Saccharomyces cerevisiae S288C: one gene and its partners. Changing the gene in region 3 together with the main gene of any one other region gives a genetic interaction. Each region holds a gene or a part of one and is shown on either strand. Other genes may lie near its edges.

Evidence for each region. Genes that interact genetically often act in the same process or in processes that back each other up.
Region 1: mutations in BEM3 (region 3) and ALK2 together harm fitness more than expected from each alone (negative genetic interaction), as found in Saccharomyces cerevisiae (2 studies listed by BioGRID).
Region 2: mutations in BEM3 (region 3) and CDC11 together harm fitness more than expected from each alone (negative genetic interaction), as found in Saccharomyces cerevisiae (3 studies listed by BioGRID).

The regions. Positions count from the first base shown.
Region 1 is NC_001134.8:205,376-209,724, reverse strand, and holds ALK2 (protein kinase ALK2), read right to left. Parts: upstream 2,532-4,349; coding exon 501-2,531; downstream 1-500. Other genes in the region: HIR1 (Hir1p), read right to left, coding at 1-72; YBL008W-A (uncharacterized protein), read right to left, coding at 77-316; LAA2 (Laa2p), read left to right, coding at 2,776-3,618; bifunctional glycerol-3-phosphate/glycerone-phosphate O-acyltransferase SCT1, read right to left, coding at 3,908-4,349. UniProt on the Saccharomyces cerevisiae protein: Serine/threonine haspin-like protein kinase involved in cell cycle regulation.
Region 2 is NC_001142.9:574,854-578,596, forward strand, and holds CDC11 (septin CDC11), read right to left. Parts: upstream 1,749-3,743; coding exon 501-1,748; downstream 1-500. Other genes in the region: HOC1 (alpha-1,6-mannosyltransferase), read left to right, coding at 1-318; MIR1 (Mir1p), read right to left, coding at 2,402-3,337. UniProt on the Saccharomyces cerevisiae protein: Septins are GTPases involved in cytokinesis that assemble early in the cell cycle as a patch at the incipient bud site and form a ring approximate 15 minutes before bud emergence, which transforms into an hour-glass shaped collar of cortical filaments that spans both sides of the mother-bud neck.
Region 3 is NC_001148.4:329,462-338,773, forward strand, and holds BEM3 (GTPase-activating protein BEM3), read right to left. Parts: upstream 6,026-9,312; coding exon 2,639-6,025; downstream 1-2,638. Other genes in the region: HOS3 (histone deacetylase), read left to right, coding at 145-2,238; YPL113C (glyoxylate reductase), read right to left, coding at 6,492-7,682; PEX25 (Pex25p), read right to left, coding at 7,975-9,159. UniProt on the Saccharomyces cerevisiae protein: GTPase-activating protein (GAP) for CDC42 and less efficiently for RHO1. Negative regulator of the pheromone-response pathway through the STE20 protein kinase.

The sequences.
Region 1 (4,349 bases), on a different chromosome or scaffold from region 3:
ATCGACTGTGTATATTTCATATTTTCGCGATTCTTCACGGTGAGCCAACCATGGAAACTTTACCACTTTCATGTTATCAGAGACCTTTGGTTACTGGCAATTTTATTATGCTTCGTTGGTAAGCCTTAATTATTTTATGAATGTTCGCCAATATTATATGTTTCTGCCACCTAAACCAGTAACTTCGTTTTATTTTTGTTGCGATGCGAGATGATTGATTTTGAATATTCTTACGATTACAGTAGCAGTCAACCTGAAAAAGGCAAAAGAAAAATAACGACTTACAGAGGATAACAGTACAAGGGTTCATTTTCATCTGTAAAACATTTTAAAAATGTGCTTTCAGTTTGTGGGGCAAGCTAAAGATAACTGTTCTCAGAAAGAGTGTTCATATTATACTATTTATTTCCTTTCCATTACAAATTGATGTACGTAATTTTTTTTTGCTTACAAATCATTAAGAAGGATACAAAAGCTTGCACCTTATTACTACGATGTCTTTACTGCATTATTTCTCCCTTCAAAGATAACAAATCACCGCAAGTTCTTATAACAAGTTCCTTTTTGAAAATTGTTTTGGAATGTTTTCGAGCAGGATCGAGTAAGTGCGTCAACTCGATTAAGATATTTTCTTCCCGGTTCAAAGCGCCGCTGACTACGGCTTTTTTGGCCATTTTTAGCAGGCTGCTACTTAGGTGATATAACCATAATAGGTTTGTTCTTGGTTCAAATGTAGCCCAGGATATTGGCTGAGGCAGCATGCTTCTCATCAGTTCATATATCTCGAATTGAAGAGTCCCCCGGCCTTGGAAGAAATAATGATGGTCTAATCTTGTATAGGAAGCCTTATTGTTGTCTATATTCAAGAAACGACAGCACTTCATATCAATTAAAGTAACATTCCCTTTAGAGTCTATCAAAATATGGTCCAAAGTTAGATTCCTGTGTTCGAGCTGAAATTTGGATTCAGCAACATATAAAATACTGCTGCACTGCCAGAAAATAGACAATGCTTGAGAGTAATCAATGTTAGAGCACCTTGATAGAGGAGTTCCCTGGTATTTGAAAAATAAGTACAGTATCAAGTTTTGGTCATTTTCACATTGATTTGAGGGCACAACATAAGCTTGCAGTAAATTGGCGACACCGCTAGTTCCTTGTATTAACCGTAATGATTTCAATTCATGTAAGGATATCAAGTTTGAAGTAGTCAAATCACTTAGAGCCCCTAGACATACTTTCTTGCAAATGAGTGAAGTTTGCATATCGCTATGATAAGTTTGCCAAAAGTTATGAGACAGCTGAACCGATCTAGTATTCAACGTAAACAAGCCTAATGACTGAGCTTCACGTAGATCATGTAATATATACTTAACATCACAAAGTTGTAATATTTGTTGCAAAATTGAATCATTGTAGTCCAAAGTGTTTATGGGAGTGACTTCTGAAGATAAGGATGCCAATGATGTTGAATTTTTCAATTTCAGTTGAATCTTGTCCTTTGAGACTTGGTCTGGAACAGGCAATGATATTTGGCAAGTTTTTTTGATCGGATGATTCAGTTCTTGTGTATTTCCTTTACGCCTTACTTTGAGCTTATTTAGTGAAGAATGTGATGTTTTATGCTTCAAACTTCTAAAGGAAAGGTTCGATGATGAATGTTTGTGGTTTAGCTCCTTCGTGCTCTGATGATCGGGCATAATAAATCCAGAATTCCTCTTCTTCTCTGTGTGTTTGCCACCACCAAAAATAGAATTGTGAAAACTTGAAATTGAAGACTTCTTTTGTAACGAATTGGTTGGTTTTGGCTGAACAAAGTTCGGATCTTGGTCATTCACAGATCTGGAAGATAGCGACCTCGACAATAGGTTATCATTTTTCCAGAACTTCCACTTTGAAGAAGAGGTGGTAGAAGTAAAGGAATTAACTGAGTTCACACTGGATGAATGAACATGAGAACTTGTCTTCTCGTCACCCCAGCATTTGAAATCACTACCGCTCCGAAACTTAAGTGATCTAAAATCTTTAACAGGCTCATCCCTTGATAAAGTCGATTGGTTTGAAATAGGTCTCAAGGGTGTACGAAACTTGGAGTTAGTCACCTTTGTAAGACCTTGCTTCGACAACCTTTTAGATGGAGAGAGCAGCTTGTTTTCCGATAGCACCGACTGAGATACATTTTCTTTGTTTGAAGAGTGAGCGGTATCATTAATATTAATTTTATTGAAGAGTTGTTTGAGCGATGAACCTGTAGAAGATCTTTTACCATAGTAATCATCGTTTTCGATGGTTTTACCTACAGGCCTTGTTTTGGATGTTGGAGAATCTGAAGAAGTAAAAAAGGATTGACTCTCATCTTCTGCTGAACCCTTGTGCGAAGTGATTTTGTAAACTTTTCTTCCTACATCCACTGCGGGGCTTCCCATGGATGAAGAATTTAATGAGCTGTCGGCATCATCGCTTTCTGCTACTTCGAGAGCAAAATACCTTCTGTCAGTCATCTGTTGATCTGCTACCGCATCAAAATTCATTTTCTCAATACAAATAGCGCATGTATGTGTGTTTGGTGAAATGATTTTACTACAACTAAATATATTAATACCAATACGCTTTAAGTTATTGTTTACTATTTTCGCTTTTCGAGAAGAGAAGATGTTACAAAAAGTTTCGCGAATTGCTATCAAAACTGAAAAAAAAAAAAAACGTTAGGCGTATCACAAACGAGAATTTAAGGTGTAGCAAGATAGAAAAAGGCACCTCTTTCAAAGCAAGCAAATGAGCGATAGAGATCAGATAGAACCTGTCACAAATGCATTAGATGCAGAAAGTGATTCTAGTGATGATTTTGGGAATTTTTCAGATGCCTCAGTTGAAAATGACCTCTATAACCAGAATTCTACTTTAACGACGTCTTCCGAATCTGTAGTAGATAACTGCTTGAATAAGATACTACCAAAGGGAGAATTTGACCTGGAAGAAGAAACCATAAAGAATGACTGTTTCAAGCTGAGCAAACTTATTGAAGATGAACGACCCCATGTCATTTATGAACAACTCGTACAATTAGATCCTGTGTTACAGCCATTCATATGGAATAAATCTCATATACGCAGAAACTTGCTCCACATTTTGAGATTATCGGATAATAATGGCTCTGAGGGTGTTGGTACGAAGAGGGAGGAAGAACCGTTGAATGATGAGTTGTTCAAAAGGATATGCGATGCAGTGGAGAAAAATGAGCAAACGGCTACTGGTCTCTTCCTGAGGGATAATTTCAAAATTGACTATACACCACCAATGACTTTAAAATCTCTTCAAAAGGAAGAGGAGCGTGAGCAAGAGCAGCATATACCGCAATTGCTTATGGCAGATTTTACTAGTATGGATGAAGAATCTTTACGCCAATACCACGATACATTGTGTCAATCCATTGACTTTTTGGTTAGTAAATCAAGATCATTGAAGAAACAACAGCGAGACCTCCTAAAGGATAAGACAACTTTTGAAAATGTAGTGACGAATTTGACAGGACATACCCAAAGACTACAGCGAGACGAAATTGCATTGTATAACAAAAAGCGAAACAAAAAGAAAAGGTTCAGTTGGGTAGGATACTAATCGCCGTCTCGGCAAAGCAGGTTGAACGTTGAAGTTTGAAGAGAATAAAATGTTATTAGTAGCATAGGGGACCAGACCAAAAGTCGTAAAAGAGCAATATACTTTTTTATAAAACATACAATTATACAATTAGTCCCCCCCTCAAGAAATAAAAAGCCCCTGTGCGAGGGATATACATAAACATTGAGCATTAATATTTACAACTCCCAATGAGCAATAATGGGTTTATTACATAAATAGAACGGCGAAAGATTTAGTTTCTAGTATCTTCACCGTCAGTAAATGGCATCTACGCATCTCCTTCTTTCCCTTCTTCTTCTTCTTCCTCTTCTTCTTCTTCCTCTTCTTCTTCCTCTTCCTCTTCCCTGGCAGTATTTTCACCAATTCTCTTGTTTAAGACGGCCTGTGCGATTTTACTTGCTAATCCATTTTTTTCCTCCAAGATTTCGTTTTCTACCTCAAATTCGGAGGAAGAAGAAGGTGCAACGGATGTCGAAGCTAAGGAAGACTCTGACTTACGATGAAAAGTAGAAGAGAATAATGGAATGTTAGAGAGGGAATTGTCACTATTGACCAATGAGACGCCATCGGAATCTTGGTTATGGTGTTCATAGGCATCGTGGTTGTCACGTTGGCTGATGATAGGTGATGACGAATCTTTTTCTTGTCTTTTTATTTTCTGTTTTCTTAGCATTTTCCTGCGATTCAATTCTGAGGTTTTTCGATCTTCT
Region 2 (3,743 bases), on a different chromosome or scaffold from region 3:
AAGAGGGACGACCAACTAAACGTCAATCTAAGGAATGATCTGAATATTATGAGTTGGACGGGTTCTGGGTTGTGGACTGACACTATTTTCACGTATTTCAATGACTTTATGAGAAGTGGTGTCAGGGAGAAGGTTACATGGAAATTATTCCATAACCTAAATCAACCAAAATTGCTAAGTGATGTTCTGGTCTTTCCAAAATTCTCCTTTAACTGTCCAAACCAAATCGATAATGACGATCCACACAAGAAATTCTATTTCATTACTCATTTGGCATCACAATTTTGGAAAAATACTCCAAAGGTGGAGCAGAAATAAGTACTTCTACGCAGATATAATAAGGAACTTTTTTGTTAATTTTTTTTTGCTGATCGATATTAATACTTTTTAAGAATGAAGAAAAAAAAAAAATAATATACCAGATGTATTTACTTATATACAACACTCACTCTTTATATATATAGAGAAAGAAGAAATAAGTGAGGAAGCCAAAAGCGGACTCATTCTTCCTGTTTGATTTTCGCCTCTTTTTCCAACCTGGCTTCAATTTCTCTTAATTCCTTTTCTCTTTGCAACAGTTCTTGTCTTTTCAACAGCAGTTCTTGCTGAACTCTCTCCTCAAATGCCTTTAGTCGCTCTTCTTCTAACCGTATTTGCTCCTCACGTGTCATGTAGGTTTCGTTATTTTCGCCAGTGCTTTGCCCGTGCATATCGGATGCTGGGTTGAGAACATCGTTATTAATATTATTACTTTGCTTGAAGGGATTTGTGTTTCTCCTTGTTGTGGTGGACGATGACGACGAACCATTCAATTTTGTCAGATTTGGACGTATGGATTCTGCCGCGACAGATTCACCTGATAATGCCTCGGTTCTATATCTTTCATATAATATCTCATGTGTGTAGTTTTTCAAGTCATGTAAATGAGAGATCAATAACGCATTCCTTAAGATAACAAAATCAGAGATCGATGAATCTTCCACGTCCAGTATGCCCCATGGATACTTTCTGCCACGAATTGTCCCAACATCGCCGCCCATTTCGTAAACTTCATTGGATCCAATAATAGCAAAAGGTAGAAGTGTACGTAGGTACATATTGGTTTCGTAATCTTCGTCTGATATTTCATCTTCATCGAAAGGGAAATTATAAATTGGCAAGTTCCATCTGTCGATATCCTCCATGATCAATTTTTTATTCAGTTTCAGTTCATCTCTTGTCAAGGAATCTGATTTGCTGATCACAGGGATGATGTTAACTAAGGATCCCAACTGTCTGATGAATTCCACATCAATCTCTTTTAAACCGTGGCCAGTTGGGTTGATTAAGTAAAGACAACAATGAACTCTGCCGTCCTTAAATCTTGGGTTTCTTCTCACACGACTTTCTTCCAATAAGATTTCATCATATTGGTGGCGAATGTAGTCGGAAATGATTTCGAAAGATGGAGAATTGTCGAGAGAATCACCGAATCCCGGAGTATCGATGATATTAAGTTGAATCTTGACACCTTCATCATCTTCTAATTCGACCGTCTCCTCTCTCAATTGTAAGTCTATTTCTGTGGACGTATCTGTGGGTAACAAGATTGTCGTCGAAGTGTCTACAACTTGCTGACCGCACAAAGTATTTATAAAAGTCGATCTACCAGATCCGGACTGGCCCACGATCATCACAGTGAAGGTTATACCTCTTTTCAAATGCTTTCTTTTTCTTAATGCAGAAGATGCGTCAATTATTCCGGACATGGCTGGTGGTTAGCAACTTTAGGCCTTGTGATGATTGACTTTCTAAACGGCTCCAGATCGGGTCGCCAATACGTGGTGTCTACCTATTTTACTTTTCGATCAAATACTTTTTTGTTTATTTTTCTTTATGTTAGAAGGCGGAAAAATAAAGAATACTGGCGATCCTGCATGGTCGGGTAACGACCCACGAGCATTGTGTTGTGTAAATATAGCCATATTTAAGCTATATTTATCTGTATAACATATACGTGTCCGTATGTGCCCGACCAAATATGTTACTGCGATGAAATGGATTGAGAACGATGTTTAAATGTTATGTTCCATGTTGTGTTTTCCACCAAAAAACCGTGAAGGACAATTCAATGAGCAAAGGGTTTAACGGAGCTATAACCTGCTTTTGTAGATGAAAAAATAGAAAATTCAAATATATATATATATATATATTTATAATAGCATGTTAATTTACAGATATTTGGACTTTTGCAAAGTCAGTAAATACATGGAATAAGAATACTAGTGATTGAATAGAGTACATTTAAACAGATTTATTTATTTCTTTCCTTTGTTGACTCTTTCTTAGAATATGAAAAAAAAAAGGGGCTCCGGTGGTGATGAGGAGAGAATATATATGCATGTATCAATCAAGACCATTTCTAATGACCACCACCACCAATTTCAATGGTTGGTGGGCAACCCAAAGTGCTCTTTAAAGAACCATAAATACCAAATTGCAAGGAGGTCAAGGTACCAACCATGACCAAACGAGTAGGCAACCCAGCAAAGGAACCGAAAAATCCTAACTGTTTGGCCAACTGAGCCAACAAACCGACTGTGGATTGGCCAGGAGCCTTCTTAGTCTTGTTGACCTTGGACAACAGAGTGTCTGCTGGCTGGGAAACAATGGCAGCGGCCAAACCAGCAGTCAAACCGGAAAGCAAATTCAACAAAGTAGTGGAAGTAGAGGACAATTTTTCTTTTGGACCGGCGAACCCGTAGTAGAACTCGGAGGCACGTTCAAAGACCAAGAATTTAGCAATGTTGTAAGGAATTTGCTTGAACAAAATTGGAGTGAACCCACTGTAGAAAGAGCCGATACCTTCTTCTTTCAAAATTCTGGAAAACCCTCCGACGAGTCCATTAGCGAACTGTGGTTGGGAGACCAATCTGATTCTAGTGGCTTCTAGGGGACACAAGGCAATGTCTGCCAAGAATTCGGCCATGGCAGCAGAACCCATGTAAACAGAGTTCTTGTAGCGAGAGGCGGTATCGTAACCCAAGTTGTCAATGAAGAACTTCTTGAACACTTCGTAACCACCGAACTTGAAGGCACCTTGGATAGAGTAACCCAACAAAGTAGGACCAAACCCGGTCAACAACGCACCAGCACCTTCTCCGGCGATGATTTGCTTGAAAGAGCCGACCATACCCTTGTTGTACACGGTAGGTTCCAGTTGGATTCTCGTCTTAACGACATCGATCGGGACCATACTGGAGTGAGTCGACCCGCACCCTATGGCGCCGGCTAGGGCGAATTTCATGTAGTCAGAGACAGAGTACTGTGGAATAGCAGGAGCAGCAGACACAGACATGGTGAGATGAGACTTTTTGATCTTTGTAGTTCTTCTTCTTGCAGATCACTCTGTTCTTTGCGATGGTTCTTGTAGATAAAAAGATCGGGAGGATGGATCGCACTTAAAAATCTTCTCGAAACGGGCCGCGGCCGGGCATGGGACCCGTTCTCGACGCTGATTGGCTAACGATGGTTGGGCAGAGTCTCAGCTGCTGCTTGCTCACATTCGACAAAAGACTAGAGGAAAGCAGTACCATGCTGCGATACTGTTGCATCGCAGCATTCCGCTGTCCAAAAACAATACCTGTTGTATTGTTTGAGGCTGGCAGGCGCTTGGGTAGAAACAACACCCGATACTGGTGACAGGGCTATCTATAAATATTAAAACTTGACTCCGCAATTCGTCGTAAACTGCCTTAACCATC
Region 3 (9,312 bases):
TTGAAAAACTAGTCCTTTTCCAAATTACAAACTTTCTTTTCGTGTGGAGTTGATCAGTTCAGTTTCTCCAATACTTCTTAAGTCACTGAAAATATAACGAAAAAAAGGGCTCTGGAAGTAAACAGAGAAATTCGACGATATAATATGTCTTCCAAGCATTCAGATCCATTGGAGAGATTTTATAAGCAATTTCAAGCATTTGTTCAAAATAACCCTAATGTCATATCGGCAGCTCGAGCTGCCGCACAAATACCGGAATCTGCAAAAGCTGTTGTAGTACTATCCCCATATTCTTTACAGCATGTGTTCCCGAGAGAATGGGTAACAAAATCGTATAGGAAAACTATAGTCGAACGACCAGAAAGATTATTAGCAAGCTCGATGGGTATATCAGCTGCGATTACAATGTATCCATCCCTTTTCACCTTGAAATCCTCGCATCAAAGGAAAGGTTCATTGATGGCACCTCATGTGCTTAAAGTTCATGGCAGTAGCTGGCCGGCTGAGTTAATTGAACTTTGCCAAATGGCAGATGCTAAATTGCTAAAAGGCGAAATCGAAGTCCCAGATACTTGGAACTCAGGTGATATATACTTGAGCTCAAAGACAATTAAAGCTCTACAGGGAACAATTGGGGCCATTGAAACTGGTGTTGACTCAATTTTCAAAGGACCATCTGCAGAACATATTAGTAACAGAGCTTTTGTTGCTATACGGCCTCCTGGTCATCATTGCCACTATGGTACACCATCCGGCTTTTGTCTGTTAAACAATGCACATGTAGCCATAGAATATGCGTATGATACTTACAACGTCACGCATGTTGTCGTGCTTGATTTCGATCTACACCACGGTGATGGGACCCAAGACATTTGCTGGAAACGTGCGGGTTTCAAACCTGAGGAGGAACCTGAAGATTCATCTTATGATGATTTTGGTAAGAAATTTGCCGAATTTCCCAAAGTCGGTTATTTTTCTATGCATGATATAAATTCATTTCCAACAGAGTCGGGATTTGCCACAAAGGAGAACATTAAAAATGCATCTACCTGTATCATGAACTCTCATGACCTAAACATCTGGAATATTCACTTATCCAAATGGACAACCGAAGAAGAATTCAATGTATTATACAGGACAAAATATAGAACTTTATTTGCTAAAGCAGATGAATTTTTCAGGAGCGCAAAACTAGAAATGAATCAACAAGGGAGACCATTCAAAGGTTTGGTTGTCATAAGCGCAGGTTTCGATGCATCAGAATTTGAGCAAACTTCAATGCAAAGGCATAGTGTCAACGTTCCTACAAGTTTTTATACAACGTTCACCAAAGATGCATTGAAATTAGCACAAATGCACTGTCATGGCAAAGTTTTGTCTCTAATGGAGGGTGGATATTCTGATAAAGCTATATGTTCTGGTGTTTTCGCACATTTGATCGGTTTACAAAACCAAGATTGGGTTAAAGAATGGGGGTCTGAACAAGTCGTTAAAGAGATTGTTCGTGGTTGCAAACCGGCTTGGAAACCCTATAAGACAAAAAGAGCAAAAGATGTCATAAGAATATGGGCAGAAGAAGTTATCAGGCTGGGACGAGCAATGATACCGGAATTCGATGATATCATTTTTAAAGACGCAGTTAACAGCGCACCTTCTAATTCTCTACTAAAGGCTACTGTCGAACCAGCATCCACGTCGACAATTGCTCAAAGAATAATCAGATCTCATAGAAGCAACGCTTCCCCAGAAAAAGAACTTCATGAAAACAAGCCGAGAAGCACGGAAAAACAGGAACAAAGGGAAATTAGAAGCGATACCAAGGTCAAGCAGCTCTCGTCAAATAATAGAGCAGCTGAAACCCAAATTCCGTTTTTGCAACAAGAATTTTCCAGTGAGGATGAAGATGAAGAATACGTTTACGATGAAGAATTGAACAAAACTTTCAATCGCACGGTGGAGGATATTACCATTGATGATATTTCTAGACATTTGGAGACCTTAGAAATTGAAAAAAAAGGTGATGAAGATTCAGACCATGAGCTAAAAGAAAAAAATTGGAAAAACTCGCACCAACGCCGTCTACAAGGTAATGGAATGTATAAAATTCCCTCCAATACGAAACCGCATCGCATAAGACAGCCTCAAAACGCAAATACACCAACTTATGACGATAGTGATATATCAATGATTTCTCATGTTTCAAGAAAACATACAACAAGAAGTGGTGGAAGATGGTGATACCAATGCATATATAATGTTGTCTTGAACCCACTAAAGAAGTGACGCATATATTACTTTTTTGTATTTAGTAACACAATTTTTCTATTTTTATATTTCCTTGTATAGTTAGTAATTTTAATTTTTTTCCTTCTTTATCTCAGCTCTTCGACCATTTGGTCAAGAAGTTAGTTTTTTTCTCTTATTTTATTTGACAATATACTAATTTTATTATATGGTATTGTAAATAACATTTGAGGAATAAAAAGACAGTCACTCTATAAGCTTTATCAGCCTGACATTTTTTTATTATTACAAATATATCGTTGAAAGAAAGAAGCCTCTATACATCTCGCCCTCTTTCTATCATTAAATCAATGGAGGTTTACTGGCAACGTTATATTTCTACAATTTTAGACCATCAAACCTGAGGAATATGTATATCTACTTTCTCCCTTTCCTCTTCTTTAACTGGTTCACCACCCTGAAATATACACGCAAAGTCAGTGATGAATGGTTGAAGCATACTAATTGGAATATTTAGAGTTGGGGAAAACACGATGCATAAATTTCTTAGATTCATCTTATTAAACTTACTATTCTCATTGATCCTTACCAGCAGTTCAAAAAGAGCATACATCAACGATAGGTTAGCGTGAGGAACTAGGCCAGATTCAATAAGTTCCTTAAACCCCAATGATATTTGAACAGGATTATTATGATTTTCATCAACTACTCTTTTAAACGACAAAAATTGTTCGTCACCAAATAATAAATGGGGCAACTTTCTCAAGTACAACTTTAGTAACCCACTTACAGTATTCACACCAATGTAAAGACTTGGAGATGCCTCATCATCTTTAGCTTCAATACTTTCATTGTACCGACATAAATCTACATCGTACTCTTTATCAAACCTTTCTTGTAAAGTTTTGATAACTGTACTGGACCCGCTTAGTCTAAATATGCCTTCTTCCTGGATACCACGGTTTTTGTAAAGATACTCTAAGCAACGATAAACTACACTCGGTAAATCGTAAACGTTTTGGTACTTATGCGAACTCAATCTTAAACACGTTTCTAGTGACGAGCCAAATATTGCAGTGGACACATGTGGACCCGTAGAAGAATTTGACGAAGAGGATACTTCCATTAATTTTTTGCTTGGTGACTTAATGATAGAGTCAGGAGATGTTGGAGAATCCGAATCATTTGAAATTGTAATACCTATATGGTTCATTGCACTCGCCGGGCCGGTTAATTTTTTAAAAGGGAATAAACTTCTCATTTTGGCTCTCCTACTATCCTTCTCCTCCTCTGCATTCCCGCTTGAACTTGCTAGGAAGTTAGAGTGAGAAGATGGGTTTGAGTCAATACCATCGCTATTAGCAATGTTATTGCTACTATTACTAATATTGTTATTATTATTATATTCTTGGGTCAAATCAGTGACATATGATGGAGTATCGGTTGCTGAGATAGTTGCGTTTCCAAATTTAGAATGGTGTGTTCCTGCGCTCAAGTGAGATGCAGAATCAGTATCGTTTGCATTCCTCGAGCTAGATAACGATAAACTTTGTGAAGGATCAATGTAATCACTAAACGCAGAAAGCCATAATTCACGTTCCTTCGACGTTTCAGTACAAATATAATACTTTGTTGAGGTTGACAGTCCGCTTTTCTTATGCTCAGTGATCAAAAACCCATTTCTCGTTCCAAATCTATCTTCAGGGAGATTGGGTATAAGTTCTATAGAAGATTGTCTCAATTTAATAGTTTCAGTCAACTGATTTTTGTCAAACAATTGTAAAACATCATCGCGCAAAATACCGTACCGAACTCTCCATGTACTATTACCTGTTAGAGTCTTTGGTCTTCTCAGCAAAAGTGATCCGTCTTTCACATTATCATCCATCATTGGAGGTGTCATTACTGTATCTGTACTAATAAATTGGGCGATTTTTAAACCAACATTTTTGGGAAATTCAGGGACACTGAATATGCTTGTATAATACTGATTCAATATGTTCTTTCGCGTATCCACTTTTGTAGGTGATAAAGTCTGAAATAATTGTCTATCAGGTAACGTGGGCAATGGTAAATCGGGAACATGTGATTTCATATATACATCTAATTCGCGAACTTTATGAATAGATTTTGAAAATTTAAACATCTCCTTACCGGATTTCCTGTCTATGATTGCAATTAAAATGGATAAATCATCTTCATTATCCCTGTACAATGTGCTCAGTACTTCAATCTGGATAGTGCCAAAATCCTCCGGTTGAACGAATAATGGAATATCCGACTTAAGACTTTGGGCCACAGACTTCACGGTGCTCACGCTACTTGCATGAGGTCTTCTAAGTGTCTTCAACGAACCTTGGGGTGTTGAGCTAAATGTATTCAAGGTATTGGTTGAATGGATGGATGCCGTTTCTCCAAGTTGTTTTTGTTTTGATGAACTTTCCACGGGAGGATTTGGAGGAAGAGAAGCATTTTGACTTGTTGTTGACAATTTTGTAGAAAGATTGGGGAGTGATGAAGTTAACACAGGTTTCTTTAAATTTTTTGCACTTTGAGCACCAAAATTATCATCCTTTTTATTCAAGATAACCGGAGAAGCCAAATGGCTTGATAAAGGAGTAGAGTTTTTTATATTTCCACTAGAAGTAGGTGAGAAAAAAGTTGGAGGCGCTGGAGGTGGGGGTAAAGATTCGTTAATCGTGGATTTTATGGACAGAGGATCTTTACTGTCCGTATTGACTAGATCCTCTTCGCCAAATGAGGAGTCAAGTAATTGGGTGAAGTCGTCAAGTTTTTCTTTAGATGCTGGAGAGAAACCCAAAGCCTTGTTTTCACCCTCCTTGACTTCCAAAAGGGATGATGGACTTTTGGCTGCTGAAGTAGGAGTTCCAGTAGTGTATGCAGAGGATGTTATAGAAGAATAAACGCGGTCATTTTTTTGTATCGCGTCATTAGTTAGTTGTTGACTTTTACTTTCAGTCAGCTCATCTAAATTATTAGAGGTACTGGCCTTTAATGGAGAATGCAAATGGTTGTTGATAACAGCCGTCATTCTGTTAGGATTTTGAGGGGAACGCAAACGTTCTTGCAATGGAGATTTCGAACCTTTATTAGGTGATTTTATGGTTATCCTAGACGTCGTATAGGTAACAGAGGCAGCTGGGCTAGCCAACTGTTCTGAATGTATTTTTGTAGGGCTTGAGACAGATCTATTGATAATTTTGGGAGATGAGAAGCTACTATTTGCTTCTATTTCATCGTTTAGTATCATGTTCTGTAAATGCTTCCTACTTATTGAAGTATTTGATGTAACACCTATTTGAGGTACTGTAGGCGTTACACTTGTTTCAAGTGCAACGTCTGAACCTTGTTGCAATGGAGGGGACAATGTCGGTATTGGCAAATTAAGACTCTTGATATGCGCTTTCCTTTCAGCAGATCTTGGGGGTAACACAAATGATTGATCGTTAACGTATGAATCTCTTGAGTCATTTTGAACTTGCTCAAGCACAACTTCTAAGGAAGCTTCTCTGTTTTTTTGTAACATATCAATAACCTTTTCCAAACTCTCAATTTCAGTTTCATATTCTTGGACTTGTAGCTTTAGCTTAATGTTTTCCGTAAAAATTTCATCATAGGACGGATTTCTTTCTTTTCCTGAACATGTTCCTTTTTCTATATGTTCTATAGATTTGTCCTTTTTGGATCTATGATCATTGTACTGCGCCAACAATTCAAGGGTGGTACTACCACCATGAGTTGTGGTCAAATTATCTGTCATTGCGTGCTGTTAGTTGAGTGTGAGTTTATTCTAGAATATACACACAGATACTCCTAGCAGCCAGTGTTTCAACAAACGTGATGTTGTATATGCCTGATGTAATCACGAACTCGAACAAAAGGCAAAATGGTAGAAGGCAAGGACAAAGAAGAAAAGAGAAAAAACTTCCAGATACAAAGCTAACACACAAAGGTAAACGGTGATTAAAATGGATATATCGTTGATGTATTTAACAATCTTGAAAAATTCCGTTTAAAAAACATACCAATACGCGCAATAAAAACGGTTCTTATCTGGTACTTTACCTAGTCAGACGATTATTGTTCTTTATAAAACGGCCGCGTTTTTTTTCCAACATCACCGCCGCCATATAACTTTCGACATTCTTAGAGTTGTGGTATAAAGAGCAATGCATATACGTATGTAATCCTAATTGAAATGCTATCTTTGTAACATAATGAATGGTTCAGTTGAGCACATACTTACCATCACCTCCCTCGACAAATATGTCCTGCACATTCTCGAGTGTGATGAGTGTCTGCTTTATGACCATGTCGGCAACTGTGCTGCCGATATGTGGCAAAGCTGTAACATCCCATCTGCGAAGTAACTCTTGCTTAACGCGTGTTTCCTCATTTTTAAACACATCGAGACCACAGCTTGCCACTTTTCCAGATTCAAGAGCGTCTAGTAGCACATCTTCATCTATGCATGTGCCTCTCCCAACGTTAACTATCCTGACACCATCTTTACACCAGGCCAAACTTTTACGATTGATAATATTGTTTGTAGAGGCCGTACTGGGCAAGGCCAAAATGATCAAATCCGCATTCTTCCAAGTATTTGGATCATCTAGATCAGAATGGTACTTAGCGTTGTAATCAAGTAGACTCTTTTGGACGGGACCGGTCCTTTTGTAGTATTCAATGCTCATGTTGAACACTTTGTGCAAGTTAGACCCTATATTTTGTCCGATGGAGCCAAACCCCAATATTAGAACTTTTTTATTCATTGGAGATTCCATTTTTTTCCCGCCAACCGTGTACTTTTCTGCTAAATGTACCACTTTCCTATCCTTGTTAGGCTTGCATTTGTCTGTTCGAGAGGGAAATTTCATTTCCTGACCGTGGTAACTATCTGTAACAATTTCATACGAGTCACTAGAGATATATTTCTTACACTGTTCAACATTACCATTTTCCACGTATTTAAAACAATATTCCCAAAATGAAGTCATTCTAAAGCAGCTAATTGCTAGGAAAATAGCCAATTCTGTGACATGGTCAGCAGCATGTGGTCCAATGTTGCATAAAGTGATACCTTTCGATCTTAATAACTTACCGTCAATAAAGTCACAGCCGACCCATGGTACAAGGATTACTTTTAAAGATGCGGGGAAGAATTCAATATAACTCGAAGGGTTTCCTAACACAGTGAAAAACTCCTCAGTGAGCCAAAAGCCGTTTATTCTATGAGTTTCCAAAAATTTAACAAAATCATCCTTTGTGGACATCTCATATTTATAGAATTCTACCCTTTCTGCCAGTTTGCGATATTCAGGAAGATGACTGGCGACTTCCCATTGGGTTTTATAAGGCACCAAAATTCTTGGTTTGGCAGAATAAGTTACATCTGCTATGTCAATTGAAGTAATCATTGTTATTTAAAGGTTGCTACTTTTGTACACTCAAGTATTTTTCTGTATTTGAGAGAGAGCTATTTGTACTCCACACTCCACCTTTTAGATCTGCGTCAAAGTGTCAGAATAAACATACCGTAAAACGGAATGACTACCGCCACCCCAATGACATAAAAACGGAAGAAAAAGAGCAAAAACCGAGCGCCAAACTATCTTATTCAACGAATCAAATAACAATACAAATGCAGAGGTAAAACATTATTCGCCACATATATATGTACATATCTATATGTATACATATTTTTATATATCAATCTTTTGAAGAGCAAAGTGACCTCTTTGTTGTTATCCAAAGTTTAACCAGTCCAGTTAAGCCGGATCCCAGGGACAGAACGGCATACGTTCCCTTTGGAGTTTTTAAATTTAGAATATCTGATGTATTAGCCATGCAATCAAACGATAATCTTGCAATATCTAAATAAACAAGTGTCTTTTCATCCTTGATGGCCTTTAGTTGTTTGTGTATTAACACCTCTGCGTCGTTATTAACATTTAGGTCATTTAACAACTGTTTCCTAATTGGCGATTGTGAGCCATCGTCTTTATGGGCCTGATGCATCAGTATGGGTGAGAGTAGTAACGCGTTATTTTGAACTTTTAGTTGCACTTCCAATTCTAATTGTCTCTTCTGTAAGCTTTGCAGGTTGAGCCAATGGTCCTTCAAGCTTAAAAGAATGTCGTATTGCCATGCAAGAGACTCTTGTCTACTGACAAAGGAATAGAATGATTTATTTGTCCATATTTTCAATTTGTATAGCAAGTCTAATTCATCAAAGATACCATAATACAAGTCCAAAAATTCTCTCAATGAAGCTTCATTAAACCATATTTTCTTAATTTGGTCAATTTGAAAGTTGCACTTTCTGGTTTTATTGAATTTCCCCAAGAAACTGCACACTCGGAATGGTGTGCCGCCAAACCTTAAAATATATCTAAAAGTACTTAATTGTTGACTGATAAAATCAATTTTCTTGTCAAAATTTCTCAAAAGAGACAGGAGAAGTACTTTAATTACCGTGATTGGATGCCTTAGTGCGACTTTTACAGTCAGATTTTTCAAAATCTTGGTATAGTACGTTAATACGGAAGGGTCCAAAACAGTTAAATTTCGCTTAGACTTTTCGATAAACAGTTTTAATATATCCAGAGCGTATTTGATAATTTTGGCTAATTTGTCTCTACCAGATAGAGAATCCAATATATATTTTAAGATGGTAATATTATCCACCATCTTTGTTTTTGCTTGAGAATCCTCATCATCACTTCTCGAGGATTCAGTATGCGACTCGCTTCCACTGCCTGCACTGAACTTCTCTGCACCGGCGTCTGATGAATGTGGATGGGTATTGTCATCCTGGGCGTCCTGGTAACTTGCCCCAGAATAAGGTGGTGTTTCTGAACCGGAAACGATATCTGTCGTGCCAAACTGACTCATTGTTTTACGACCAGTTTCTATAGGTGAAGACTTACAGGGAAGTTGAGGATATCGACTCTATTTGTTACTTTCTCCAGCATACAAATTACCGATGATTCTGAGAAGAAAGAAGAAAAACGTATTTCAAAAATTATATAACCTGAAATAATAAGC